Struthio camelus: one gene and its partner. The protein of the gene in region 2 purifies or fractionates together with the protein of the main gene of each other region. This does not show direct contact. Links are inferred from orthologs where the notes say so. Each region holds a gene or a part of one and is shown on either strand. Other genes may lie near its edges. The genes, in order: CDC6 and MCM7.

Evidence for each region.
Region 1: the proteins of MCM7 (region 2) and CDC6 purify together in Homo sapiens (affinity purification with western blotting; 3 studies listed by BioGRID). This does not show direct contact. The link is inferred for Struthio camelus from reciprocal best matches to the Homo sapiens genes MCM7 and CDC6.

The regions. Positions count from the first base shown.
Region 1 is NC_090966.1:6,884,688-6,898,766, reverse strand, and holds the start of CDC6 (cell division control protein 6 homolog), read right to left. Parts: upstream 7,133-14,079; 5' UTR 7,052-7,132; intron 6,118-7,051; 5' UTR 6,110-6,117; coding exon 5,836-6,109; intron 5,120-5,835; coding exon 4,892-5,119; intron 4,811-4,891; coding exon 4,611-4,810; intron 3,904-4,610; coding exon 3,731-3,903; intron 3,423-3,730; coding exon 3,316-3,422; intron 3,075-3,315; coding exon 2,935-3,074; intron 2,524-2,934; coding exon 2,423-2,523; intron 1,356-2,422; coding exon 1,291-1,355; intron 666-1,290; coding exon 457-665; intron 272-456; coding exon 131-271; intron 48-130; coding exon 1-47. Other genes in the region: WIPF2 (WAS/WASL-interacting protein family member 2), read right to left, coding at 9,406-9,446, 10,451-10,552, 11,150-11,359, 13,364-14,023. UniProt on the Homo sapiens protein: Involved in the initiation of DNA replication. Also participates in checkpoint controls that ensure DNA replication is completed before mitosis is initiated.
Region 2 is NC_090978.1:592,132-606,554, forward strand, and holds MCM7 (DNA replication licensing factor MCM7), read left to right. Parts: upstream 1-5,303; 5' UTR 5,304-5,643; coding exon 5,644-5,674; intron 5,675-5,828; coding exon 5,829-5,905; intron 5,906-8,120; coding exon 8,121-8,285; intron 8,286-8,368; coding exon 8,369-8,493; intron 8,494-8,812; coding exon 8,813-8,993; intron 8,994-9,078; coding exon 9,079-9,216; intron 9,217-9,903; coding exon 9,904-10,053; intron 10,054-10,133; coding exon 10,134-10,248; intron 10,249-10,378; coding exon 10,379-10,510; intron 10,511-10,752; coding exon 10,753-10,836; intron 10,837-10,953; coding exon 10,954-11,347; intron 11,348-11,545; coding exon 11,546-11,629; intron 11,630-11,711; coding exon 11,712-11,880; intron 11,881-12,598; coding exon 12,599-12,708; intron 12,709-13,230; coding exon 13,231-13,435; 3' UTR 13,436-13,758; downstream 13,759-14,423. Other genes in the region: AP4M1 (AP-4 complex subunit mu-1), read right to left, coding at 878-922, 1,000-1,091, 1,178-1,284, 1,379-1,432, 1,569-1,635, 2,144-2,206, 2,313-2,393, 2,489-2,599 and 4 more; COPS6 (COP9 signalosome complex subunit 6), read right to left, coding at 14,060-14,200. UniProt on the Homo sapiens protein: Acts as a component of the MCM2-7 complex (MCM complex) which is the replicative helicase essential for 'once per cell cycle' DNA replication initiation and elongation in eukaryotic cells.

The DNA of each region.
Region 1 (14,079 bases), on a different chromosome or scaffold from region 2:
TCCTGCAGCGCGTGCTCCACGTCCTTCTCCTCTATCTTCAGGGAAACCTGTCGGAGACACGAGAGCCGCTGAGCGGGAGGCCGGCTCCCGCGGCATCGCCCCGCCGCCCGCCCCCGCCGCGAGCCGCTACCTTGGCGAGCCGGGCTTCCTTGGCGCGCTTCAGCTCGAGGACGCCGCGGGCCTCCAGGAGGGCGGCCAGGGCCAGGCACTCGGACTGGTCCGCGGCCGCGAGCTGCTGCCGCCGGCACACCTTGCTGTAGGCGTCGTGGAGCTATGCAAAGAAAACGTTAGGCCACGGCCAGGACACCTGCACCCGTGCCAGCGTGGCGCGCCAGCCCCGCGCCTCTCCGGGCTCGCTCGGAGCGCCAGCCCCGCGGCTGGCCGGAAAGGGAGACCCAGGCCAGGCGACGTCCTCCCCGCGGGGACGGGGCGCCGCAGCCACCCGGCGCAGCTCACCTTCCCCAGCGTCACCTCCTTGGTCTTGAGGTGCCGGGCGAGCAGCAGCAGGGAGCACACCAGGATCTTCTGCTGCAGCGGGAAGGAGTCCCTGGCCCCGCTGGTGCCGGCGGCCATCCGGTCGCCGTACACCTCCGAGATGACCCGGGAGACGTGCAGCAGCCCCACGCGCTTGGGCACGGCGGAGCCCGGTGCCGTCGGGGACGCGCCTGCGGGGCGGACGGGCCTTTGGCGAGGGGAAACCGGGGCAGAGCGCGCGGAGGAGCGGCGGCCACGGAGCGAGGCCCCGCGCGGGCAGCCCCTTCCCTCCCCGCCACCCCGGGCTCGCACGTGGGAAGGGAGAAGGGAAACCCACGCATCCTGCTACACCAGGCCGGACCCAGCACGGGGCCTGGCGGAGGGGTCGCAGGCAGCAAGACACGTTACGCTGGAGGGGTCTCCATCCCCGCAGCGACAGCGTCGGCCTCTCTCAGCCCTGCGCCGGGGGCACAAGGCCGGTGACGGCTCGTGGGCGGAGGGACGGGGACCGACGCTGCCCCGGTCGGCAGCTGGGGCCAGAGAAGGCTCCCCGGGGCAGGATGCCGGGCTGAACCGCTGCCCCTTGCACGCGGTGGCTTTGCACCTCCAGTTCGGCAAACAGCTCTGTTTGAGGCCGGCCCCAAGTGGGGCGACCCCCCGTCGCGCTCCCGAGCGCCGGACGGGAAACGCACCGCGTGCCGGGCCCCGGGGAGCCGGGAACACCCCGACTGGCCCCGGCAAGGAAGGCTGCAGCCGCTGTCGAAGAGAGAGGGAGGAGAAGCGCCGAGCGCTGCGGCTCGGGCGGCAGCTACTCACAGCCAGGCAGCGGCTTGAGGACGGTCTGGCTCCTCACGTCCCGCTCCACCATCTCGACGGCTCGCCTAGGAGACAGTGCCCGTAGGTCACGTCGGCCAAAGCAGCCAGGAGCTGAAATCCCCAAACCCCTCCTGGCCTTCGCTCGGCTCCGCGTGCACCAGCATCCCGACCCGTCCCCCGCCCAGCGGCCTCTGGCCACGGCCATCCTCCCCCTCCTGGCTCCAGCTCACGGCGACGTCCCCCATGGGTCCTGCAGGACGGGACACCGTCCGTGGGGCCGATCCGGTCCCCTCCGGCAGGCGCGGGGACAGCAGCCCCCGAGGGCGCCGCAGCGAGATGCGGGGGGACGCAGGCAGCGGCGCAGAGCACATTAAGAGCAACTCATTTCCGCCTCCTTAAGCGCTGCCCTAACGAGACTGAACGCTCCAGGTGCTGCAGGGACCGAGGGGGCTCGGGGCTGGGAGAGGAGCAGCCCAGAAGCCGGCCTCCATGTCCAAGAGCAGCCGTAAGAGGAGACGGGCTCAGGGTCTGGACCGCTTCCTCGGCCGGCGGCCTCCAGACATCTCTGTTCGCCTCCCGGCTCCTCCCAGCCCGAAGCCCGGGCCAAACCCCGTGGTCAAAGCCCGGCGCTCGCTGCGCCCAGCTGGCCCGCGGCCCACGCCGGCGCGGCCTGGCAGCGCTCCCGCGGCAGCGGGAAGCTCCGACCTGGCCGCTCCAGCGCGGCTGCCCTCGGCACGGCATCCCCGGCAGCGAGCAGCGCCGGGCTGGCGGCAGAGGGGCCGGGGAACCCCTGCTGCCCGCGAACCGACGGACCGGGGAGGGGAAGAGCTAATTCTGAAGGCAAAAAACTGGTTCAGCTTCATCAAGAAACCGGCTTGGGAGCTGCTAATGGGGCTTTCTGCAATACAGATGTAATTAACCAATCTATAGTCACAGCGGGGAGGGCCGGCAGCGCCTTCGCCTCGCCCTCCATAGGTAATGGACTGCAAAGAGCTCTCCCATTAGCGGGGCCAGGCGGCAGCGCTCCCGCTGCTCGGGCGCCGAGCGGCAACGGAGCCTGCAGTCACGTTCGCCGGCGCCGCTGGGAAGCGGCCTGGTTTTGGAGGAGGCAGGGCCGCGCGGTGGCGTTTACCTGCAGACATCCAGGGCCTTGCGGGCGTCTCCAGAGACCGCGGAGACTTTGCGGGCACAGAACTGGACGGCAGAGCTGTCCAGGACCGGGTCACCAGCCACCTGCGGAGGAAACGCAGCGCGATTACGCGAGAGGCCTCCCACGACCCAGCGCTGCCGGGACGGCAAATAACCCCTGCGGCCGGCCCAGGGCAGCCGGCAAGTCCTCCTGCCACGTGGGCTGGGGCATCAGAGCGCCGCTCGCGGCATCGCAGCCGGGACCTCGCCGCTTCCTCGCCCCGTCTCCCCGAGGTGCCGGCAGAGCGACCGGCAGGACTGGGAAGGGCGCAGGCCCCCTTCCGCCCGAGGCGCCGGCTCAACGGGCCGCCCAGCCCGTGGCGGGAGTAACCCGGCAGCGGAAGCCCGTTTCGCGCGGTTAATGGCAGCGTCAGCGCCACGCGCGCGGCTCGGCCGGATCGCCGCAGCCCCTGCCAGCTTTGCCCGGAGAAGCGGCCCCGTTGCCTCGGTTTTCACCTGCTTCAGGCGCTCGTGCAGGATGGAGGCGAGCTGGTCCCTGGTGTAAGGCGGGAAGGTGAGCAGCTGGGGGCGGCAGGTCGGCCGGGCCTGGAGCCGGGCCAGGCTGCGGTCCGTGAGGTCCAGGGCATTGGCCATCCCTGCGAAGCACAGCGAGCTCGCTGAGAGCGGCGGCGAGGGAGGCCGGCACCTGCCCGGGCTGGAGCTACGCGGGCTCTTCCCAAGGAGGGGAGCGTGCGGCCGGGGACGACAGAGCTGCGCAAAGGCTGCGTCTAAAGCACCGAGCGCTGCTCCGCCGCCGAGTTGTGCCACCCTCGCGGACGCGTGCAGGGAGCTCCGGGCGTCGGATGGGGCAAACGTCGCCACGCGGCTGACACTCACCGATGAGGACGAGCCTGGAGCCGGCCAGCCAGGGCCACTCGAACACGGTGTACAGCACGTCCTGCCCTTTGCTGTCCAGCTGGTCCATCTCATCCAGCACCAGCAAGCTGCGCAGCGGAGAGGAAAGCTCAGGTCAGCCCCGGAGGGGTGCGCGAGGCAGCCCGAGCATCGGCGGGTGGCAAATCCGCCACGGCGCAGCCGGGACCGCAGGAGCAGGATAAGGGCCGGCTTTTCCCACTACCTCTGCGACCTGCTTCGCACGTTCAGAGAAATCAAAGCTCTCAGGAGAAACCCCGCACAGGGGACATGTGTCCCAGCAGGCCAAGGCGAGGGCCACCCCGAGCTCCCAGATGCGAGAGGCAGCTCCAGCGCAGCAAGAGCAGCCCACAAGCGGCGCCCAGCGCGGGCAACTCACACCATGGGCCCCTTTGCTGTCAGCTGCTTCTCCAGCTTCCTCACGATCTCCCGCCCGGCCACCCTGGCCGTTGCCTGCAGGCCCAGCTGCTCCGCGATGGCTGGGAAGACGGCCTGCGAGCTGCTGAGGGACATGCAGTTCAGGATGACGGTTTTGCTCCTCGTGAGTTCGCCCTGCCAGACAGAGACATGGGAGAGTTGCAGCACTGGCGGCTCCGCTGGGCACGGCAGAGCTCTGGCGGCAGAGCCAGACAGCGGAGCAGAGCCGTGGCCAGGACACGCGGCTCCGCAAGCCTGCTTCACGTGGGGACGTCTGCGTCCAGCCGCCCCCCTTCCCCAGGGAGACGCTGCAGCGAGTCCGAGCTCTCCCCCGCTCGGCTCTTGCTCCTCGCGCAGCTCCCTCCCGGCTCTCCCCTGCTCTGCCAGCCCCCCTAGGCTGCACCCGTCTCGCCCCGCCATGCACACGGCCGGGCAGCCTGCTCCGGACCCGACACTGAAACAGGCTCTGCAGCAGGAACCCAGCAATTGCTGCGCGTGCAGGGATAACGCTGTGTACAGAAATGGCTGTTAACTGACCCAAGGCGCTCTGCTTCCAAACCAAAGCAGCTGAGCTACAGTGAGTGGAAAAAGCTATTGCAAATGCGCAGAAAAGCAAGATCTCCTCCTGCTTGTTCCAAACCACTTGTACAAGCTACTCCAAACCTACCAGAAACTTTCCACCCTAGCACCAGACTGCCCTGAAATACTCCCCAGGCAGCAAGACCATGACCGCTAAACGCAGGGAAAAACACCAGCCTCATAAAAGGTGAGCTTGTTCCAGCTTCAGCTGTAGCAAAGACCTCGGCCCCTGGAGGAAAGAGCCCCCCAAAACCGTGACAAACCTTGTAGTCTTGCAGGACCCTGCTCAGACAGGCCGTTTTCCCCGTTCCAGGGGCTCCCGAGATGTAAAGGCTGCCGGGTCTCCCCCCGCAGACATGCTCTTTCAGAAATCGCTTGATGACGCTCATCTCCTTCTCCCTGGCGTGGAGGCACTCCGGGACGGCGGTGTGCAGCACGCGCTTCGCCTGCTGGTAGCAAGAGCCTGCGCCGGGGAAAGGGAGGTATGGGAGATGGCTCCCGCGCTCCGGGGGGATCCCGTCCCCCTCGGCGCGCCAGCACTCACCTTCCTGCCTGAAGAGCCGGGTGCAGACGGGCTCCCGGCCGAGCTCCGAGCTCCGGGGGGTCTCCTGGCCCTGGCGCCGCGGGGAGAGGCCCGGGTCGCTCCCCTTCTCCGGGGAGCCGGGGGCCGACGGCTCCCCGAAAAGCAAGCGGCGCCCCTTGTTCTCCTTCCTGCTCTGCTTGGTGGGCGAGCAGGGCAGCGTGTGCGGGATGTTGCACAAGTTGTCGTCGCCTGCGGGGAGACGCGCCGCGGTCAGCGGGGACGACGGCGCGGCAGGGAAAGCACCGACGTCCTCGGAGAAGGGCCAGCTACAGCGGGGGCCGCGGGCCTGCTTTGGGGGCCACCGGGGAGGGGGCACCCCGGAGGAATTCAGAAACAAACGGGAAACGGCAACATGAAGGGGTTCAAGCTAAATATCTGCATATGTTTCGTGAAATCCGCCTGCCGTGGAGAAGAGCCCTGCGGGGACGCGGGCTCAGCCCCGGCCTGCGCAATCCCCCACGCCCGGAAAAGCCTGCGCTGGGGGAACGGGGCTTTGCGGAAGGGAGCGAGGACGCGGCCCCCCGGGATGGTCCGGCACCGCATCCTGCTCCGCAGGGCGAAGCTCGGAGCCGCTCTGTCCGCCCACGCCAGCAGCTGCCACCATTAGACGGCCCCAAACTCCCTTGCGGCGGGGTCGCACCAGAGCCAAGGGCGTTGTGCAGCGGGGCAACGCAGGGAGGCTTCGCTCCTCGCGACTCCCGAGCGGGCTGCACGCGGCGGAGCAGCCCGGGGTCCTGCCGCAGAGCTTCCTCCCCGGAGACGGGGAGAAAAGAAAAACAAGAAATCACAAATTTCACCGACACTCCAGCTGCGCGAGGGCAACGGGAGGGGTAAAGAGGCCCGGCGTAGGGCCGGGACCCCCAGCCCCGAAGCTCCCCCCGGGGAAGGAGGCGCTGGCAGCTCACCCAGGCGTTTCCGGGGGCTCAGGGGCGAAGCCTTGGTCCGCGGCGAGAGCGCGCCGAGAGCAGCCCGGCCGGGCTCGGCCGCGCCGGGGGCCGGGTCCTTCGGCCAGGGCGCCAGGCGCAGGGCGCAGGGGTCGGCGGCGCTGCCGGGGCCGGAGCCGGGGCCGGGGCTGGCCGGGGCGTCGCGGTTCTTGGCCGGGAGCCGGGCCGGGGTCCGGGCGCTCTTCCGGCGGGGGAAGTCGATGGCGGCCTGGCTCCGCGACCTGGTGCTGGGCATGGCTGCGGCTGCGGGGCAACGGCGTGGGTCAGGCGGGGGAGTGCCCCACGGCTCTGCCCTGCTGACCCCCACCCGAACCCCCACCTCTCTGCCCCAGCCCCCACCTCCTCCCACCCCACATCCCCACCTCTCCGCCCCCCATGGTGGCACACGTCTGCTCCTCACCCCCCCCAGCTCTGTCCTGCCCCACAGCCCCACATCTCTGCTCCCATCCCTCTGCTCCCCCAGCCTTGCCCCACCTGTTCCAGCTCCTGCCCCATAGCCCCACGTCCCTGCCCCCATTCCCCCCAGCTCCTGCCCCACAGCCCCACGTCCCTACACCCCTTCTCTCCAGCTCCTGCCCCATAGCCCCACGTCTCTGCTCCCAACACCACCCAGCTCCTGCCCCACAGCCCCACGTCCCTGCCCCCCTTCTCTCCAGCTCCTGCCCCATAGCCCCACATCTCTGCTCCCAACACCACCCAGCTCCTGCCCCACAGCCCCACGTCCCTGCCCCCCTTCTCTCCAGCTCCTGCCCCATAGCCCCACGTCTCTGCTCCCAATACCACCCAGCTCCTGCCCCACAGCCCCACGTCCCTGCCCCCCTTCTCTCCAGCTCCTGCCCCACAGCCCCACGTCCCTACACCCATTCCCCCCAGCCTGCTCCACAGCCCCACGTCCCTGCCCCCATTCCCCCCCATCCCTGCCCCACAGCCCCACGTCCCTGCCCCCATTCCCCCCATCCCTGCCCCACAGCCCCACGTCCCTGCCCCCATTCCCCCCCATCCCTGCCCCACAGCCCCACGTCCCTGCCCCCATTCCCCCCAGCTCTGCCCCACTGCCCCACGTCCCTGCCCCCATTCCCCCCAGCTCCTGCCCCACAGCCCCACGTCCCTGCCCCCATTCCCCCCACCCTGCCCCACGTCCCTGCCCCCCGGCCCCCCAGGCCCCACCGCCACCCACCTTCTCGCGCCAACTCCGCCGCAGCTCCGCACTTCCCGCCACCAAGCCGGCCCGGCCCCGCCCCCGCTTCCCTATTGGCTCCGCCGCCCGCCGCCGCCGCCAATCGCGGAGCTCCGCGCCAAGCGCCGCGAGGAGGGGGAGGGGGGGTCGCCGCGAGGAGCCAATCGGAGGCCACGCGCGCGGGGTGTGCCGGGAGTGGTAGTCCGAGGCGCGCGAGGCACGCTGGGAGGTGTAGTGCAGCCAAGTGGAGGCGGGAAACCATGGCCACGCCCCCCCCACTGCCCCCCCCCGGCCTGCCTCTTCCCCAGAGCCCCCCAGTACCCCCCCGTCCCGCTCCCAGTGCCCCCCAGTACCCCCCGTCCCGCTCCCAGGGCCCCCAGCCCTGCCTCTCACTGGGGCTCACCCAGGGGAAACTGAGGCACAGCCCCGGGCTGCAGCACCTGGCCAGCACCCCCCCCACCCTAACGACCCCCCCAAGCCAAGCAGAGGGCCAGACCTCACCCTTGAGCAGATGGGCCGCTTTACCACTTTTATTTGAATGCAATTTCAAGCTTATTGTGTTTTTTATTCCGTTCCCTCTTAAAAGAGCCCCCTTTGCCGCCACACAGGGGGTAGGAGCCAACGGTACAGAGAGAACCTTTTTTTTTTTTTTTTTCCTCCTTTATTTAAACAAAACAGCACAGTGCATGAACTCCTGCCCCAGCTGCAGTGCTGGGCTGGCCCGTCCTCCGGGGGAAAACGAACCAAACCGAACCCCAAGGTTTCCCTGGGCCAGGCAACGTCCCTCAACGTGAGTGCTGCCTAGGGCCCCCGTGAAAAGGGTAAGTTTCCATCGTCATAGAAAAAAAAAAAATAGCAGTTAAAGGTGAGGGGTTTAGTACACCTGCCACGAGCCCACCTTCCTCCTATATTACAAGCTTTTTACAACGTACAAAATAGATCAGTAACTATGATTAATGTAAAGCCCACCCCGGTACTGCGAGTAAATACACAGAGAAACCAGCCTGGTACCAACAGTCTGACAGAAGTAGTGTAAATAAGGCAAAACGTCAGCTAGAGACGAGGGTCCCCGGCGCTGCCGCCAGGAGCACGAACCCGGCGCTGGAGCGGCTGGGCCAGGCCACCTGGCGCAGGCCCCTTCCCACTCCCCCAATGCTCTCCACTCTCACATTAAAGAGAAAACCAACAAAAAACAGCAACAAAAAACCCCGCATCTCTCTGCTTCTTCCACGGACGACGAGTAGCATCTTCCTGTTAAAATTCTCTGTTTGGTAATTCAGCGTTAAAAGCAGGGCTCTCCCGGCGGTCAGCGGTGCCCAGCCAAGCGCGGGATGCGCGCGGGGCTCCCGGCAGGGACGGCTCCCTCCTCCACCGCTGCCACTGGGTTAAAACACGCCGGCAGGGGTTGGCATCCCGCCGGTTGGCTGCGTCACGCGAGGGGGTGAAACACCGCTGGACTGCTCCCGTGCGAGGACAGGGCACGGCGAAGGGAGTCGCGCAGCCGCGGGGAAACGTCCCCTGCGCGGGAGCGCAGAGGCAGAGCAGCAGGGAAGGCTGCGGGTTCCCCGCCGAGCTGCCTCACGGCCCCCTGCTCCCAGTCCCTGCTTACGGCTGCGGATCAGTCCCTGCCCAGAGCAGCCTCTGGCCTCCCTGCGGCTCAGGCTGCGCAGCCCAGCACCATCAGGCTCTGACTGGATGGTCCTGATCGTCACGTGCTCCTTCACTGGCTCCTGTGCAAAAAAGCAATTTGCTGTGTTTGGGTAACAAAACATTCTGCTTGCTCCTCCTCGTTTCGCTGTTAGCTTAATGGATTAATACGCAGCATTTCTGCCCATGAGTGTCCCAGATGGAGCGCCCTCAGAGACGCCCCTTTTCCTGTACCCCTCTGCAAATGTGACCTACCCCAGCTCCTTTCCAAGCCCACACAACACCCTCAGCCTGCCTTAGCCCAGAGGAAAAAGGGGCACTGAGCCGGTTCTGGTCCCAACACCATCAACTGGTCTCGGCGCGGTTCGGCGTCTGCCCCAAGTTCTCATGCCTGGATGCCCAGACCACAGCTGGAAGCGCCGTCCCGACACAATCCAGGATCTGCGACGAGAGCGCGGAGGAAAGGGCCCATCCGGGCTTGCCAGCAAGGTCACCAAGTCCAGGGTGAGATGCATAGATGAAGGTGGGCTGGCAGAGACAGCTGAGCTGGAGTTATCTGCTCTTCCTTGCACAGCTGGGAAAACCAAAGACGCTGGGAGTTTCTCATGCAGGTTCCTAGAGGGCAGGGAGGTGGGGAGGATCCATCTGAGGAAGGGGAAGTAGGTCCGTATCTTTGCTCAGGAACAACCTCCCTGCACAGCTCACTTTCACCTGGGGATGGGAGGCAGAGGGGGGGCCCCACGGGTAGCTGCAAGACAAGAAGGCCCACTGAAATCAGAACCCGCGCGGAGACTGCCCGCACAGCTGCTGGGGCAGCAAGCCTGGCACTGCTAACACGTGTCGGCTTCTCCCCAGCCTCCTCGCTGGCTGCCAGGGCCAGTTCGGAGGATCGCTGCCTCGGGGGTTAACAGAGCGGCACCTGGCACGTTTGCTTACCCTCCTCCACACCCTCGCGTCAGCCCACGCTGCTGCCCCCCCTGCTCGTATTCCCCGCCGAGGCCCGAAGCCTGGGATTTGCGACTCGAGAACCAGCCGTTGCAGCATGCATGGAAAGCTCAGGGCTTTTCAAATCCACATTAAACATTTATCATTCTAAAAATAAACGAGCATCCCGTTCTCCCTTGAGTCTCTCCTCCTGGATCTGCAGGGCTGACTCGCAGCAGCAGAACAGCAAGGGCACTTTGTGCTGCGCTGGGAGAGGAACCGGCTCCCAGAAGTGTCAGATCCAAGCACTTCTGCCCAGGGCCTCTCGGTTTGACCTGTTCCAATGCTTGCACAGCAGCTCTTTACCCTTCCACTGCCTGCCTAATACCAGCATTTCAGCTGCAGGGCCAGCTTCTGGAGTCCTTTTATAACTGCTCCAGCACCAAAGGCCAGGAAAAAGCCCTAAAGCATTTCTGCACACAGGCTCAGCAGAGTGCAGGTAGGACAGGACATTCTCCCAGCCCAAATCCCTGGGGCCGCCCAGGGTGAAGCATGCTGCCTCGAGGGCTCAGTGCCCTGAGAAGCACGTGCAGGCCCCAGGGCCGCGCTGTTGCGCGGAGAAAGCCAAGGATCAGGAGAGCCCCTGAAGCCACGACCCAGGGCGGCTCAGCAGCAGCACCAGCACAGCCTCCCTGCACGCTCTACCCTGGCTGGCTTGACAGAGGGGATGGTGGGTGGCCACGGCTCCATCGCTGTCAGCTCCTGTCACCAGCAGCACCCTCGAGGGGAGTCAGGCCACGCAGGACAGCAGACTAGCTCTTCCCTTACCTCTGTTTGTTTTGCTGGGGTAGATCCTCTGGAAGTATTTATACTCTTCTGGGGCTGGAAAGTCTTCGACAGGGTGAAAGGAATATTTGGATTCAAAGTCATCTGCAGAGAAGGAGGAAAAGTGGGTCAGGGAGGGTGGCTCTGAACGAGCACAACTGAAGTCGACCTTGCCAGAAGGGCTCAGCCATGCACGCCAGCGCCTGGCCCCCAGGAGCTCCTGCGGTTCCTCCTGTTTCCAATTTTCTGCCCCGGGTGAGAACAGCAGTCACCGATGAGCATGTAGCGCCTGGACCTTTGTGCCTCTGGATCCAAGCCTAGCACCAAGCCAGGATAAAGCAGCCCAAGGAGCATCCTGTCCTGTCCCTCCCCTCTCAGCTCTACAACCCCCAGCTTCCTCTGCTGGACAAGAGGTCTCTGCCTCTCTCACGTTAGCAGCTGAGGAGGCAACAAGGGGCGGCATGTCCACACAAAGGATTTCTTCTCTCCCCTCACGTATGGCCTGAGGATAAACATGGGCACTCCCAGCTCAGTCCCTTCCCCCAGGGCTGGCACAGACCCCTGGGGAGCTGGTTCTGCTGCCAGGCGCAGGCTCACCCGAGGTTTGCCGACTGCCAGGGAGCAGCACTCTGCTTGCGTTTGTGCGGGGCCTACAACAACACTATCCACAGCCCAACAGCAGCGCAGCGGGGCCTCACTCACCCAGGAAAGCTCTGACGGTGGCGATGGAGTCCCGGTGGCCATTCCTTACTGGCGGGGGTGGCGGGGGCGGCCCCGCCGGCGTCCTCGTGGGCGGCGGCGGCGGCTTCCCTCGGCTCGGGGGCTCGGCGGACCCGTGCAGTCTGTAAGGGGGCGGGGGCGGTGGGGCGTCTCGCCCACCGTTACGCAGCATCGGCGGTGGGGGCGGCGGGGCTGCAAGGAAACCCGTGTCAGCACCGACGCAGCCCGCAGAGGGCAAGGGTGAGGACAGCGGCGGCCTGCCAAGACGAGGCATCCCTAGGGCAAACCCTCCCCTCGGCAGCGGGGCCAAGGACACCCTCCAAGGTAGCTTTCCAGGCCAGCTGCTGAGCTGGAGAGCGCCAGCAGCCAGCACTGCGGCCCAGGGATGTTTCTAGCTCACGTCCAGCAGAGATTTCCTGCGCGTTCCCGACATCTGCATTCCTCCCTCCCCATCAGCTCCGGCGGGGACCTGCCAGGCGCCTGCCCAGAGCGCGGCCAGCCCCGGAGGCCAGCTGGCCCCGCAGCCACCTCCCGGCTCACTGCAAACGGGGACCAGGTGAAGTGCTGCGAGGGCACAAGGCCGTGCGGGCCAGCCCACCCTGAGCGGGCTGCCCCGGCCCTCGTGCACCCCCAGCCCGCGGCCTCACCTCCCGGGGGAGGGGACCACGTCTGCCAGCACCCCCTCGGCCAGCCACGCGCTGTCTCGGAGGACAGGCACGAGCCCTGTGCCCTGCTGCCGGGCAGCCTGTGTCTAAACCCGCGTTGTTACCAGAAAGCATCCCCACTGCGCAGGGCGCCTAGGCAATCCCGCAGCGGAGCCCCACCGCGTGCCGCTGCCCTGTGCCCGGAGCAGGCCAGCTGGCGAGCCGCGGCACGGGCACACGCTGCGGCTCTGCTGTCAGCCCATCGCAGCCGCGCACAGCTCCATCCCCTGGCAAGGCAGGGCAGACTCGCGGCTTCAGACCCAGGTCACTCTCTGCACCGCAGAGGAGCCAAGCGCTGTTATAAGCACGCACACACGAGGGTTTGAGAGCGGGCGGCCCTGCATGGAGGCAAGACATCATCTGCCGCGGCAGGGAGGCAACACTGCGAACAAGGTGTAGGCTCCCAAAGCACTAACAGGACCCACAGCCCCTCTGACCCACCTTTCACTCCTGCCCAGCCTCCCACCAATGCACAGGGGCAGTTCATGCTCCTAATTAGGCTAATTACACAGACTAACACAGCAGATCCCCAGCTGTAACTCAATGGAGGGATTCCGGCAGGGCCGGAAGGACAGAGCAGCTTGGCAGGGGACCAGGCAGGAGCTGCGGTCTGGACGCAGAGCCCAGGAGCGCGCAGGAGACCGGGGGCACTGGGGCAAAGCCATCACCATGCCCAGCAGCGCGACACACTCCCACCCAGCTCCGTGCACGGGGAGAACAGCAAGTGGTCTCCACTGAGTCACCCAGGTAGCAACGGGACAGGGAGACAGCCAGCCTCTGGGAGCTCAGACATTTTCCCAAGCAGCATCGGCCACGGGAACGTGCCGCCTTCCTTTAGAGGGGGCCTGATGCAATGGCCTGGCTCCGTCAGGGTGCCTGACACCAAAATCCCAGCACCTGCATCAGAGGTGACAGAGCCTTTATCGCCAGCTGTCCTTCAAACCACCTAGCGCTGAAACCAGCCGTGATGCCCACAAAGAGGGCAGAACACTTTCTGGGTTCTGCAGGACGCTCTCCCTGCTGCGTAGCCAGGTGAAACGTTTCTCCCTGCTCTGCCGCAGCTTTCTGTCACTGCCTCGGTGACATAGGAAGAGAAACCGCAGCACAGGCCCGGCTCCGTTGTACTCTCTCCTCCCACCTCAGGGGGAGGCTCCAGCCCCCAGGAGGACACACCAACCTCAAGTGCAAGAACTGCCAAGCTACAACCCGTCGCCAACAACAGGCACAAAAGGAACTGGATAAATAGAGGACATGACCAGGGACATCTATTGAACATGACAGTCCAAGACACTGCCTCTGGCTCAGGCAACCACTGCACTGACTGCCGTGTGCAGGAGAAACCTCGCTGTGTCCCGGCTTTGACTCTTCCCCAGGCATCTCCTGCCAGCCATCAGACCACCCCCACGGGCAGGCGACCCCAGTCTGACCCACAACGGCTGCTCTCAGTCTCAGGCGCAAAGGAGTTGGGACTAAAAGAGCAAAAGGTTCTTACCTGCTCCTCTGCTGGGGGGGTCTCTGGCCGGCGGAGGGGGGCGACTACTCTGGAGAGATGGGGAGGCTGAAGCAGGCGGTGGCGGCGCGAGACCTCGCAACGGGCCCGGCGTCTTCCTATGCAACGAGTTGTGTCTCTGCGGCAGCTCTGGGGCAGACTCATTGATGGGGCTAGAAGGGCCGTTGGGGACACCCGGGGGCTGCCGATAGGGAGGCGGCGGCGGCGCGAGAGACTGGCTCTGAGCCCCCGATCCCGTTCGGATGCTGACGGGGGAAGGAGGGGGCTTGATGGGTGGCGGGGCGGGGGGTCCATCCCTGCTCACAGGCAGTCGCTGTCCCGGGGTTGGTGGCAGGGGCTTCTCCCGGTTGTAGGAAGACACCTTGGTGCCATGCGCAGGAGGGGGGGCGGGAGGTGCGGCGGCGCGGCGGCCCGGCGGGGGAGGCGGCGGGGCGGATGAGCTGTGTTTCATGCCGGTGCTGCCGGCGCTGTTGGGCCGGGAGAGGTCCGGCAGGGAGGGCCTCTGCATGCGCGGCAGCTCTGGGGGAGAGGCCCGACTGTTGTCAGAATCATCTTGAGGTCGGCTGTTGCTGGTGGGCACCGGGGGCCTGGGGGCAGCTGCTCTGGAGCCGGGGACTTGCAGGGTTTGCTTACTGGAGCTGTCTGCGGTGGAAGGAAAGCAGAGTGACTCGCCAGACCCAGCACAGGCTGAGAATCAG
Region 2 (14,423 bases):
CACCGGACACCCCGTCCACCCCATGGACATCCCCACCCTCCCCGTGGACACCCACTGGACACCCCGTCTGCCCCACGGACACTCCCACCCCCCCCCCATGGACACCTACCAGACACCCTGTCCACCGCATGGACACCCCACAGCTACCACCACCCTTGGACACCCACCAGACACCCCCAACCCTACAGACATCCATGGACACCCACCAGACACCCCCCCACCCCCACCCATGGACACCCACCAGACACCCCCCCACCCCCACCCATGGACACCCACTGGACACCCCCGCCCCTACAGACACCCATGGACACCCACCACACACCCCCCACCCACCCATGGACACCCACCGGACTCCCCCACCCCTATGGACACCATGGACACCCATGGGACACCCCTACCCCCATGGACACCCATCAGACACCCCCTCCCCACCACCCATGGACACCCCCACCCCTACAGACACCCATGGATACCCACCAGACCCCCATCTCACCCACGGACACCCACCAGGCACCCCCAACCCCATGGAAGCCCACTGGACACCCCCACCCCTACAGGCACCCATGGACACCCACTAGACCCCCCCCACCCATGGACACCCACCGGACACCCCCACCCCTACAGACTCCCATGGACACCCACCAGACCCCCCTCTCACCCACGGATACCCACCAGGCACCCCCAGCCCCATGGATGCCCACTGGACACCCCCCACCCCTACAGGCACCCATGGACACCCACTAGACCCCCCACCACCACCCATGGACACCCCTTGGACACCTCCACCCCTACAGACACCCATGGACACCCACCACACTCCCCCCTCTCACCCATGGACACCCACCAGCCACCCCCCAAGCCCCCCCTCCCCCCAAACCTTTTGGGTGGCAGGTCGCAGCGGAGCTTCAGGTACAGCCGCAACCTGCGGGGGACGCGGGGCCACGTCAGCACCGGGGTCACCCAAACCCCCCCCCACCCAAACCCCCCCCCCACCCTCACCTGCCCGCAGCGTCCCGGTCCACGGTTGGGAAGAGGCGGAAGGGCAAAGGCGCCGGGATGTCATCCGCCAGCTGGTACTGCATGAGCGTGAGCTGCCCCGGGTGGGGAGGGGGAAAGGGGGTCAGGATGGGTGCCCCCCCATCACCCTAGGGTGCCCCCCACCCATCCGAATCCTCACCTCACCCTGGCTCGGGGTCACCTTGAGCACCCGGCCGCTCTCGAACTCGTCCAGCTTGACGGCGCCGTGGAAGGCGCATTCATCCACGCGGACGGCCGTGCCGTAGCCTTGGTGGGGGGGGGAGGCGATTTTGGGGGCAAAAAAGGACGTTTAGGGTTTTTTTTTCCCCCTTGGGGGGGAGTTGGGGGGGGTGGGACGCACCTCGCACCTCCGACTTGCCCACGCAGAACTCCTCCGTCAGCCCGATGCGCATCTCTGCGGGGACGCGGCGGTGTCACCCACCGGGGTGGCGGGGGGACGGACACGGTGGTGGCGGGTTTTGGGGTGGGGGGGGACACCCAGCCCCGTACACCCAATGCCGCTGGGGACCCCCCCCCCCCCCCCCGCTCACCGCAGCAGCTGGGCACGTAGCACTTGAGGCGAATTTCCCCCTGGACGTCCACCTTCGTGGGTGTCCCCTGGGGACGCGGGGACGAGGGGTGAGCCGGGGTTGGGGGGGACGCGGGGCGTTTTGGGGACATGGGATTCCCCCCCCCCAGGCTGAGGTGTTGGGAGGGGGGACATGGGGGGACACGGGGTGCTTTGGGGACAGGGAACACCCCCAGGCCGAGCAAAGGTGCCTCGGGGGGAGACACGGGGTACGTGGGGCACTTTGGGGACAGGGGACACCCCCAGGCTGAGCTGAGGTGCCTCGAGGGGGGACACAGGGGGGACACGGGGCGCTTTGGGGACAGGGGACACCCCCAAGCCAAGCTGCCTGGGGGGGGACACGAGGGGGACGCGGGGCACTTTGGGGACAGGGGACACCCCCAAGCCAAGCTGCCTGGGGGGAGACATGAGGGGGGACGCGAAGTGCTTCGGAGACAGGGGACACCCCCAGGTCGAGGTGCCCGGAGGTGGGGGGACGAGTGGGAGGGAGGGGACACTGGGGGGGGACGACCGAGCGGTGGCCCCGTCCCCACTCACGTTGGCCGCGATGACCACCGTCAGCCTCTCCACCACGTCCACGAAAACCTCGTTCTTGGCGCCCTGTGGCCGCAGAGACAGTCGGCGGTGACACGGGGACACCCGTGGGGCGGGGGGAGGGGGGACACGGGGACACCCATCGGGTGGGGCGGCAGGGGGGGGGTCCTACCTGCTCCCCCCGAGGTGGCAGCACGGGGCGGCTGGCGGCCGAGCTGGGGGCCACCTTGCTCTGCTGCGTCTCGGCGCCGAACTGCAACGAGGAGGAGGAAGAGGAAGGGGGCGTTCGCCGGACGTGGGTGCGAGGGCACCCATGGGTGGGGTTGGGGGGGGGGGTTGGGTGCTCACCAGCCCGATGGAGCCCAGGTCCAGGAGGCTGAAGGGTTTGGTGGCCACGGGCTCCGTGTGCATGAAGTTGCGCAGCACCTCGGGCGCCGTGGTCTGGATGTAACCGTAGTCCTGGCGGGGGGGGGGGGACACACAGGGATGTCCCCGTGTCCCCCCCTCCCCCAGGGGTGTCCTCAGCCCCTTTGGGTTGTCCCCAGCACCCTAAAGATGCTCCTGAGTGGCCCCCCCCACAAAGGTGGCCCCCCAGCTCTCTCTCTAGGGTGTTCCCACTACCCCCCTCTAATGTCCCCGTCACCCCATGGGGGTGTCCCCACCACACTCAGGTGTCCCCATCACCCCCAGAGCTGTCCCCAGCCCCAGGAGAGTGTCGCTTGGCCTCCCCCATCATGTCCCCAGCTCCCTCTAGGGTGGCCCTGGTCCCCCCCCCCAAGCTGTCCTCAGCAGGGCCACCACTACCCCAGGGTGTTCCCACCTCCCTCTGTGGTGGCTTCAGTCCCCCAAACTGTCCCCAGCAGGGCCACCACCACCACCCCAGGGTGTCCTCACCTCCCTCTGAGGTGGCCCCAGTCTCCCAAACTGTCCCCAAACTGTCCCCATAGTGTCCTCATAGCACCCCCAGCAGGGTCACCACCACCCCAGGGTGTCCCCATCTCCCTCTGAGGTGGCCCCAGTCTCCCAAACTGTCCCCAAACTGTCCCCATAGCCCCCTCAGGGGGTCCACCACCACCCCAGGGGGTCCCCACCTCCCTCTGAGGTGGCCCCAGTCCCCCAAACTGTCCCCATAGCCCCCCCAGCAGGGTCACCACCACCCCAGGGTGTCACCACCTCCCTCTGAGGTGGCTCCAGTCCCCCAAACTGTCCCCAAACTGTCCCCATAGTGCCCCCAGCAGGGTCACCACCACCCCAAGATGTCCCCAGCTCCCCCCGGGGTGGCCCCTGTGTCCCTCCCAAGGCATCCCCAGGGACAACCCCACGCCCTAGGGGTGTCCCCGTCACCCCGTAGGGTGTCCCAAGGCGCCCACCCACCAGCATCTCGTCCAGGAGCTCGTAGACGAGGGCGAAGTTGAGGGCGACGTTCTTCTCGCTGAGGGTCCCGCAGCAGTCCCGCAGCAACGTCACCAACCTGCGCCGGCGGGCCGTCAACGGGTTCCCCCCACTCTGCCGCGTCCCCTCCTGTCCCCCGGTGTGTCCCCCCCACCCCCCGAAAACCCCCCCTCCCCATACCTATTGAGGAACTCCACCAAGGTGAAGGGCGACGCATCTGGCGCGGCGGTGGCCACCACGTAGAGCCCCGCGTGCCGCACGTGGACAAAGTGCCGGCCCTCGTGCACCTGCGGAGGTGGCGGGTGGGTGGTGGGGGGGGCGAAACGGAGCTGGGAAGGGTGCTGGGACCCCTCCCCCACCACCACCCCGTTTCAGCACCCTACCACCACCCTCACCATGAAGACGGGAGCTTGGTCGCCCGGCAAAGCCGTGATCTTCTTGTAGAAGGTGTCGGCGAGGTCCTGGCTGGTGGCACCGGCCTCGCCACGGACCGGTCTGCGGTTAAGGAGAAGCAGAAGAAGGTGGGGAGCAGGGGGGGCAAGGGGGACCCCTCCCCAACCTCTCACCCCATCCCACCCACCCAGCACCCACGCTGGAGCAGGATACAGTCCTTATGGATGAGGCGGTCGCCCTTGGAGGAGAGGATGAAGAGCTGGGAGAGCATCGCTGGCCTGGCGGGAGGCGGAGGGGGTGGCTCGAGTGGGACCCTCCCCCCCTTCCTTCACCCCGAGACCCCCCCCACTCACCCTCTGGCCACCTTTGGGTGCTACCAGGGCTCTGCACCTTCGAAAGAGCTCTGCGCCCTCCAGGTCCTGCTCCCCACCCCACCAGGACCCAGCACCCATCAAGTGCCCCTTCATCAAGACCCAGTACCCCCAGACACCCCCATCCACCCCCCCCACACCCAGCACCCCCCCAAGGCTCCAGCACCCCCAGAGCCCCCCATCCACCCCCCCAGCACCCCCCAAGTGCTCCCCCATCAGGACCCAGCACCCTCTGACCCCCCCCATCCCCCCCCATCCTCCAGCATCCCCCCCAAGGCCCCAGCACCCCCCAAGTGCTCCCCCATCAGGACCCAGCACCCCCAGACCACCCATCCATCCCCTCCAAGGCCCCAGCACCCCCCAAGTGCCCCCCATCCACCCCCCCAGCACCCAGCACCCCAAGGCCCTAGCACCCCCAGAGCCCCCATCCACCCCCCCAGCCCCCAGCACCCCCCCAAGGCCTCAGCACCCCCAGATCCCCCCATCCCCCCTCAGCACCCAGCACCCCCCCAAGGCTCCAGCACCCCCAGAGCCCCCCATCCCCCCTCAGCCCCCAGCACCCCCCCAAGGCCTCAGCACCCCCAGATCCCCCCATCCCCCCTCAGCACCCAGCACCCCTCCAAGGCTCCAGCACCCCCAGAGCCCCCCATCCCCCCTCAGCACCCAGCACCCCAAGGCCCTAGCACCCCCAGACCCCCCATCCAGCCCCCAGCACCCCCCCAAGGCCCCAGCACCCCCCAAGTGCCCCCCATCCACCCCCCCAGCACCCCTCCAAGGCCCCAGCACCCCCAGACCCCCCCATCCACCCTCCCCAGCACCCAGCACCCCCCGGCCCCGCCCCCCCGCAACCGCGGCCCCTTTAAGAGGGGGCGGGGCCAGGGCCCCCCGCGGGTCTCCCCGAACCTCGGTCCCGTCCGGCCGCGCGGGGGAAAGCGGGAGTCACGTGACGCGGCCCAAAGGAGGCGGAGCCCGCGCCGGGCCGCCTCGCCCCGCGATTGGGCGGGGCCGCGCGGGGCGGGGCGAAGGGGGCGAGGCCGGCCCCGGATTGGCCCGCGGGCGCCACGTGAGGCGCCTTTTCGCGCCACTTTTGGTTGCGGCGGCCGGAGCCGGAGTGGCGGCGCTCAGCGGCGTTGACCCCTGCAAGGTCCCGTACCGGGCCGCCGAACCGTGAACGCGACTGACCGGGCTTGACCCTTACGGCCACCCGTCACTGACCCTTGCCGCGACCCGTACCGACGCACAGAACCGGAGCCTCACTGATTGGGCCTCACCCCTACGGGCACCCGTACCGGAGACGCCGAACCGGAACCACACTGACCCCCACCGGTCCCCGTAGACCTCCCCGCCATGGCACCGCGCGATTACACCGCCGAGAAGGGTACGAAGACCCCCCCCCCCCGGAAGCCGGGACCGGCAGCGCGGGGCACTTCCGGGGTCGGGCGACCACCTGTGGCTTTGTTTACCGGGCCCGGGGGAGGGGGGGCGTGGGGACACCGGGACACCGGGCCTGACATGTCCCCTCCCTCCCGCAGATAAGGTGAAGCGCTTCCTGCAGGAGTTTTACCGCGATGGCGACTTGGGCAAGGAGTTCCCGTACCGGGACCAGCTGGTGAGAGATGGGGCAGCACCGGGCCGGGGTGGGGGGACCCTCGGGGGGGGGCTATTCCCGCCCCTGTCCCCCCACGGAGCCACCGGTGACAGCGCCGTGCCAGATTGGGGTCCCTTGTCCCCTTAGAAGAGCCATGGGTGCCACCATTGGGCTGGATGGGGGTCTGTCCTTGTCCCCATTGCGCTGGTAGCGTCACTGGGGGGACCCATGTGTGAGATCGGGGGTCCCTCGTCCCCCTAGAAGAGCCACGGGTGCCACCACTGGGCTGGATGGGGGTCTGTCCTTGTCCCCATTGCACTGGTAGCGTCACTGGGAGACCCATGTGTGAGATTGGGGGTCCCTCGTCCCCCTAGAAGAGCCACGGGTGCCACCTCTGGGCTGCATGGGGGTCTGTCCTTGTCCCCATTGTGCTGGTAGTGTCACTGGGAGACCCACGTGTGAGATCGGGGGTCCCTTGTCCCCCTAGAAGAGCCACGGGTGCCACCACTGGGCTGGATGGGGGTCTGTCCTTGTCCCCATTGTGCTGGTAGTGTCACTGGGGGGACCCACGTGTGAGATCGGGGGTCCCTCGTCCCCCTAGAAGAGCCATGGGTGCCACCTCTGGGCTGGATGGGGGTCCGTCCTTGTCCCCATTGCGCTGGTAGTGTCACTGGGAGACCCACGTGTGAGATTGGGGGTCCCTTGTCCCCCTAGAAGAGCCATGGGTGCCACCTCTGGGCTGGATGGGGGTCTGTCCTTGTCCCCATTGCGCTGGTAGTGTCACTGGGGGGACCCATGTGTGAGATTGGGGGTCCCTTGTCCCCCTAGAAGAGCCACGGGTGCCACCTCTGGGCTGGATGGGGGTCCGTCCTTGTCCCCATTGCGCTGGTAGTGTCACTGGGAGACCCACGTGTGAGATCGGGGTCCCTCGTCCCCCTAGAAGAGCCATGGGTGCCACCTCTGGGCTGGATGGGGGTCTGTCCTTGTCCCCATTGCGCTGGTAGTGTCACTGGGAGACCCACGTGTGAGATCGGGGTCCCTTGTCCCCCTAGAAGAGCCATGGGTGCCACCTCTGGGCTGGATGGGGGTCTGTCCTTGTCCCCATTGTGCTGGTAGTGTCACTGGGGGGACCAACGTGTGAGATCGGGGGTCCCTTGTCCCCCTAGAAGAGCCACGGGTGCCACCTCTGGGCTGGATGGGGGTCCGTCCTTGTCCCCATTGCGCTGGTAGTGTCACTGGGAGACCCACGTGTGAGATCGGGGTCCCTTGTCCCCCTAGAAGAGCCATGGGTGCCACCTCTGGGCTGGATGGGGGTCTGTCCTTGTCCCCATTGCGCTGGTAGTGTCACTGGGAGGACCCATGTGTGAGATCGGGGGTCCCTCGTCCCCCTAGAAGAGCCACGGGTGCCACCACTGGGCTGGATGGGGGTCTGTCCTTGTCCCCATTGTGCTGGTAGTGTCACTGGGGGGACCAACGTGTGAGATCGGGGGTCCCTTGTCCCCCTAGAAGAGCCACGGGTGCCACCTCTGGGCTGGATGGGGGTCCGTCCTTGTCCCCATTGCGCTGGTAGCGTCACTGGGAGACCCACGTGTGAGATTGGGGGTCCCTTGTCCCCCTAGAAGAGCCATGGGTGCCACCTCTGGGCTGGATGGGGGTCCGTCCTTGTCCCCATTGCGCTGGTAGTGTCACTGGGAGACCCACGTGTGAGATTGGGGGTCCCTCATCCCCCTAGAAGAGCCACGGGTGCCACCTCTGGGCTGGATGGGGGTCTGTCCTTGTCCCCATTGCACTGGTAGTGTCACTGGGGGGACCCATGTGTGAGATCGGGGGTCCCTCGTCCCCCTAGAAGAGCCACGGGTGCCACCTCTGGGCTGGATGGGGGTCTGTCCTTGTCCCCATTGCGCTGGTAGTGTCACTGGGAGACCCACGTGTGAGATTGGGGGTCCCTCGTCCCCCTAGAAGAGCCACGGGTGCCACCTCTGGGCTGGATGGGGGTCTGTCCTTGTCCCCATTGCGCTGGTAGTGTCACTGGGAGGACCCACGTGTGAGATCGGGGGTCCCTCGTCCCCCTAGAAGAGCCACGGGTGCCACCTCTGGGCTGGATGGGGGGTCCTTGTCCCCCTCCCAGGCTGAATCAGGCTCTCTCCTGTCACCCGCTGGAGCTGCGGGTGATGCCCCCGTGCCAGCCGGGGGTCCTTCCTCGCTCCCCCAACCCCTCCCACCCTGTCCCCCGCAGGCCGCGCTGGCGCACCGGGACCAGGTGGCCCTCTACGTGGCCCTGGACGACGTGGCCGAGGACGACCCCGAGCTGGCGGACGCCGTGTGCGAGAACGCCAAGCGCTACAGCCGCCTCTTCGCCGACGCCGTGCACGAGCTGCTGCCCCAGTACAAGGAGCGCGAGGTGCCCGAGAGCCGAGGCGGGGAGGTGTGGGGACACCCCGCTGTCCCCTCCTGACACCTTCCCTGTCCCCGTTCTACCCCTAGGTGTCCCGCAAGGACGTGCTGGACGTCTACATCGAGCACCGGCTGCTGCTGGAGCAGCGAGGCCGCGACACCGGTGAGACCCGCAGCCCCCAGAACCAGTATCCCCCGGAGCTGCTGCGACGCTTGTGAGTGCTGAGAGGGGGACCAGGCTGCCACCCCGGTGTCCCCGCCAACCCCATCCCTGTCCCCGAGCGTCCTCGCGAAGCCCCATCCCTTCTTTGCCTTGTTTTTGTCTTGCTTTTTTCTCTAATTCTTATACCTGTTTCCTTTTTAATTCCATCTCCACTTTTCTTTCTTCTCCATCGCTTCTAATTCCCGATTCCTATCTCCTCTGATTCCTCCACCTTAAACCCCCATCCTGTCACCTACGTTCCCCCCTAACCCATGTCCCCATCCCTGTCTTCTTGGTGTCCCCCCTCCTGACCCCCGTCCCTCCCGCCCCAGCGAGCTCTACTTCAAAGCCCCGTCGACAGCCAAAGCCCGCGTGGTCCGCGACGTCAAAGCCGACTGCATCGGCAAGCTGGTGACCGTCCGCGGCATCGTCACCCGCGTCACTGAGGTCAAACCCATGATGATCGTGGCCACTTACAGCTGCGACCAGTGCGGAGCCGAGACCTACCAGCCCGTAAGCTCGGCAGGGACGGGTGGCTCCCGCCAGCCCCAGGGGGAAGCGGGAAGGGGCATCAGCTGAGCTCTGCCGCTCTCCGTAGATCCAGTCGCCTACTTTCATGCCTCTCATCATGTGTCCGAGCCGGGAGTGCCAGACGAACCGCTCCGGCGGCCGCCTCTACCTCCAGAGTCGCGGCTCCAAATTCATCAAGTTCCAGGAGCTGAAGATGCAGGAACACGTGAGGAACACGAAGCGACGGGACGCCACGGCGCGTGGCTCCGGGGCTTTCGGGTGGTGGTGGGTGGGGAAGAGATCCCTTCAACCAGGATCGCAGAGCTGGGAGGGAATTTTGGGGTTTTCCTCAATGACCGCGGTTTGGGCTTTGGTATCCAGCTGAGGACAGAAGGTCCCTTCTTGTCTGGGCCTCGTCCCCGTTCCTCTTTGAGGACGACCCGAGCCTCGTCGAGGAGGCGATGGCATCAACGCAACCCCCTTTCCCTGCCGCCTCTTGGCATTTCTTTTCCTACCCAGTGTTCCAGCCCCGCAGCTGGTTGCTCCTGCACTGGGGAGCCCCAAACTGGTCCCAGTCTCCAGCTGAGCTTTCCCCCAGCGCAGGATAGAGGGGGATAACCCTTCCCCTGGCGCTGTCACTCAGCGCAGAGCTGGTGGCATCGCGAGTGGCCCCTGCAGGCTTCAAGGCGCCAGGACACCTGGGTCATATTTTTTCCCCTCAGTTCGTACTGGTGCAGGGGGTGATTTTTGGTTCGGGGGTGACGGCAGCAAGCTCCAGCTGCGGCTCCCGGCACCCGCATCTGCGGAACGGCCGGTTCCCGGGCCGTGGGGAGGGGACACGACGGCGGAGCTGGGGACCCACCGCGCTCACCCACCGCGCTCACCCACCGCGCTCACCCACCGCCCTCCGCAGACCGACCAGGTGCCGGTGGGGCACCTACCCCGCTCCATCAGCGTGGCTGTGCACGGCGAGAACACCCGCTTGGCCCAGCCCGGTGACCACGTCAGCGTCACCGGCGTTTTCCTGCCCCTGCTGAAGACCGGCTTCCGCCAGGTCACCCAGGTAAGCGCTGCCGCGACGGGCTGGGGTGGGGGGCTGCGGTGGCCCTGCCCCGAGCCCGCCGTCACCCTCCTGTCCCCCAGGGGCTGCTCTCAGAGACCTACCTGGAGGCCCACCGCATCGTGAAGATGAACAAGAGCGAGGAGGACGAGTCAGGGGCTGGGGAGCTGACCGAGGAGGAGCTCCGACAAATCACAGGTGAGATTTTGGGCGCTGCTGAGCCGTTGGCACCCCGAGATGCACGCGAACTAGGTTTAAAAAACGCCCAGAGCTGTCCTGCAACAGGGCAGCCGGCCGCCCTCAATGCCCTCCCTCGCTCCTTTTGCAGAAGAAGACTTCTACGACAAGCTGGCCTCCTCCATCGCCCCCGAGATCTACGGCCACGAGGATGTGAAGAAGGCGCTGCTGCTGCTGCTGGTGGGCGGCGTGGACCGCAGCCCCCACGGGATGAAGATCCGAGGTGAAGCCGTGCTGCTGCGCGCCGGCAGGGCGTTTGGGTGGGGAAGACGCGGCTCCGAGGGCCTCTTCCCTCTGGCGCGGGAAGGTTTCGGGGTCCGGGATGAGCCTGAGGGGATGAGAAAGGGACTCGCTAGCTGCGACCGAAGGATTCGGGGTGGAGGGATGAAACGGCTCCGTCCCTGATGGCAGAGAGGGACAGTGTCTGCCCTGAGGACTCACCGTTTCCCTTCCCCCCCCACCCAGGAAACATCAACATTTGCCTCATGGGGGATCCCGGCGTGGCCAAATCGCAGCTCCTGTCCTACATCGACCGCCTGGCACCCCGCAGTGAGTACGGGAGGGCTAGGAAGGGCTGGGACCCCCCCCTTACCGAGCCTCCCCGGGGCCTCTCGCCGCTGTCCCCCATGCGAGGACCCAGCTCTGGTCCCCTCTGTGCTCCTCCAGGCCAGTACACGACGGGCCGGGGTTCGTCGGGCGTGGGGCTGACGGCGGCGGTGCTGCGCGACCCGCTGACGGGCGAGCTGGCGCTGGAGGGCGGCGCGCTGGTGTTGGCCGACCAGGGCGTCTGCTGCATCGACGAGTTCGACAAGATGCTCGAAGCCGATCGCACGGCCATCCACGAGGTGATGGAGCAGCAGAGCATCTCCATCGCCAAAGCGGGCGTGCTGGCCACCCTCAACGCCCGCTGCGCCATCCTGGCTGCCGCCAACCCGGCCTACGGTCGCTACAACCCCAAGCGCAGCCTGGAGCACAACATCCAGCTACCCGCTGCCCTCCTGTCCCGCTTCGATCTGCTCTGGCTCATCCAGGACCGCCCCGACCGCGATAACGACCTGCGGTGAGTCGGGACGGGGAACTGGGGTTGGATAGGGGACCGTGGGAGCTGTGGGACCGGACGCAAGGCCGTGGGAGAATGCGTTTGGGGGAACGGTGAAGCTTGCGTGGGAGCCATGGGGCTGGGTTGGGGGCTGTAGGGTGCGTGCGGGAGCCGTGGGGCGACTCCGGCACCTGCCCCCAACTTTTTTCCGCCCCGCAGCCTGGCCCAACACATCACCTACGTGCACCAGCACAGCCGCCAGCCGCCTTGCTCCTTCCAGCAGCTTGACATGAAGCTCATGAGGTGAGAGCTGCCCACCCACGGACGCTGGGAGGCGATGTGAGGTCCCCTCCGCGGGCCTGACCCTGCCCCTCTCACCCCTCAGGCGCTACATCGCCATGTGCAAGCGGAAGCAGCCCGCCGTGCCCGAAGCTTTGGCTGACTACATCACGGCCGCCTACGTGGAGATGCGCAAGGAGGCCTGGGCCAACAAGGACACCACCTACACGTCCGCCCGCACCTTGCTGGGCATCCTCCGCCTGGCCACGGCCCTGGTGAGCCCCCGTGGCGGGTGCGGGAAGGCAGGGCCGGGCGAGATGGGGTTAAAACAAGGACCTAGAAGGACCTGCGTGGCCTAAGCGAGGCAAGAGGGGACCAGGCGAGGTGAGACAGGGCCGGGCAAGGCAGGACGAGGCTCGGCGAGGTGAGACGGAGCGCGATGGGACAAGGTGAGGTGATACCAGACCAGCAAAGTCCGACCGGCCAGGGTAAAACGAGGCAAAAACAGGCAGGATGAGCCCAGGCAAGGTGGGGAGACCGAGCCGGGCCAGCCCTCGTGGTCCCACGGAGCTGCAGCGGCCGTCGGGTCACCGTGCCGCGTCCGTGTCCCTGTCCCCGACGAGTCCCGGGGGCCCCAAAGTGCTGTTTGTGCAGGTAGTGTGTGTGCGGCATCTACTGCCGAGGCAGCACTCCAGAGCCCCCGGGGCACGGCCAGCACCGGCACGGCTCCCAGCGTCCCTTCCGGGGATGTGGCCAGCACCAGGGCCGGCTCCTGCCGTCCCTCAGCGTCCCCTGCGCCATCCTGGAACGTGGCGCCGGTTTGGGGACTGAAGTGGTTTGGGGAGCACCTCGGGGCTGCGATGGGGAGCCCTGGCAGGCTCTGTGGCTGTGCTGGGTGATTTTTGGGGTGCCCCAGGGCTGTGGGGGGGCTGCTTTGGGGACCCTGGTGGCTGCTGACCCCCTACCCGCCCCTCTTCACCCTGTTTATTGCAGGCCCGGCTGCGGTTGGTGGACACGGTGGAGAAGGAGGACGTGAACGAGGCCATACGGCTCATGGAGATGTCCAAGGACTCGCTGCTGGGGGACAAGGGACAGCACAGCCGGTGAGCAGGAGGGGGGCCACGGGGAGGGGGAGGTGGCGTGACCCTGGCCCCATGTCCCCCAGGAGGCCGTGGGGTGGCCAGGGAGGCGGTGGCAGCACTGGGACAACCGTAACCCCGTCCTCTGGGTGGCCATGGGGTGATCAGGGAGGTGGTGGCCATCCTGGGACAGCCCTGACCCCGTCCCCTAAGTGGCCAGGGAGGTGGTGGCTGTCCTGGGGCAGCCCTATACCTGTCCCCTTGACCCCTGGGCGGCTGTAGGATGGCCAAGGAGGTAGTGGCAGCGCTAGGGCAGCCCTGACCCCATCCCCACGTCCCCTAAGTGGCCAGGGAGGTGGTGGCTGTCCCGGGGCAGCCCTATGCCTGTCCCCTTGACCCCTGGGTGGCTGTAGGACGGCTAAGAGGAGGGCGGCAGCCCAGACCCTCTCCCCAGGGTGGCTGGAGGGAAGCCGGGACAACCCTGACCGCATCCCTGGGGCGGCCGGGGTGACAGCAGCTACCCTGACCCTTGTCACCTGTCCCCAGGATGCAGCGGCCAGCTGACGCCATCTTTGCGGCGGTGCGGGAGCTGGCGGGGGGCCAGGGCCGGGCGGTGCGCTACGCCGAGGCCCTGCAGCGTTGCCTGGCCAAGGGCTTCACGCCGGCGCAGGTGCAGGCGGCGCTCGACGAGTACGAGGAGCTCAACGTGCTGCAGGTGAACCCGGCCCGCACTCGCATCACCTTCGTGTGACGCGGGGACAACCTAATGCCCTCCCCTCCAAGTCCTCCTGCCACCCGACAGCAGCCCCCTGCGGCACCTTCGTTTGCCACCGGGACGCGTCCTGGCGTTACCTGACATGGGGACATTCCCCCCCCCCACCATCACCCTCGTCTGACACAAGAACGTGTTCTCCGTCACCTTTGGGTGACGCAGGGTCATGCGGCGATGTCCCCTTGGGGGGGATGGGACAGGCTCTGGCTTTGTGGCACTTCCGTCACCTTTGCCCTGTCATCTTCTGGTACTGTTACAATTTCTCTCCTGTTTCTTATTAATAAAAACCTGCTTCTTACTGATTTTGGAGCCAGGGTCGTGGCTCCCTTGCTGCCACCATCTGCCTGTCACCGCTTTCGGGGACCCGTTCCCTTGGGGACAGCCCTGCCACCGCAGGGAGGGTCACGGGATGGACAAAGTGACACCACCGGAGCCCTTAATTCCTGCCCCGGAACCGCGTTTTATTAGGGAGGGGACGCGTGGGGACTGTCCCCTTGCGCCTTCCCCCCCCACCCCCAGCTCCAGGGAGGAGGGACACAGTTCTGGGAGGAAGAGGGTGTCCAGGGGTTGGGGGAGGGGTCTTCCTTTCCCCCTCCCCCTCCACTAGAAGAAGAGCCCCCGCATGCGGCGCCCGATGCCTTGGCGGTCGTAGAGGATGTTGAACTTGTTGACGAACTGGTTCATGGTGTTGCAGGTCTTGGTGATGGTGCCCAGGTAGGCCATGAGTCCCACGTCGTTGCATTGCTGGGGACAAGGCGGGGGGGGACACGATTGGGGGGGGGTTAGCGAGGCTGTTGTCACCCCAAAACTACCCCATGGTCCCCCCCGATGTAAATACAGCCACAGGGGGAGGGACAAGGATGTCCTGAGCACCTAGTAGCGGGATGTGACCCCCCCTTCTCACCCACCCACCACGGAGGATTGGACCCTCCCAGGTGCTTCCTAGGGACAGGGACACAAGAGAGGG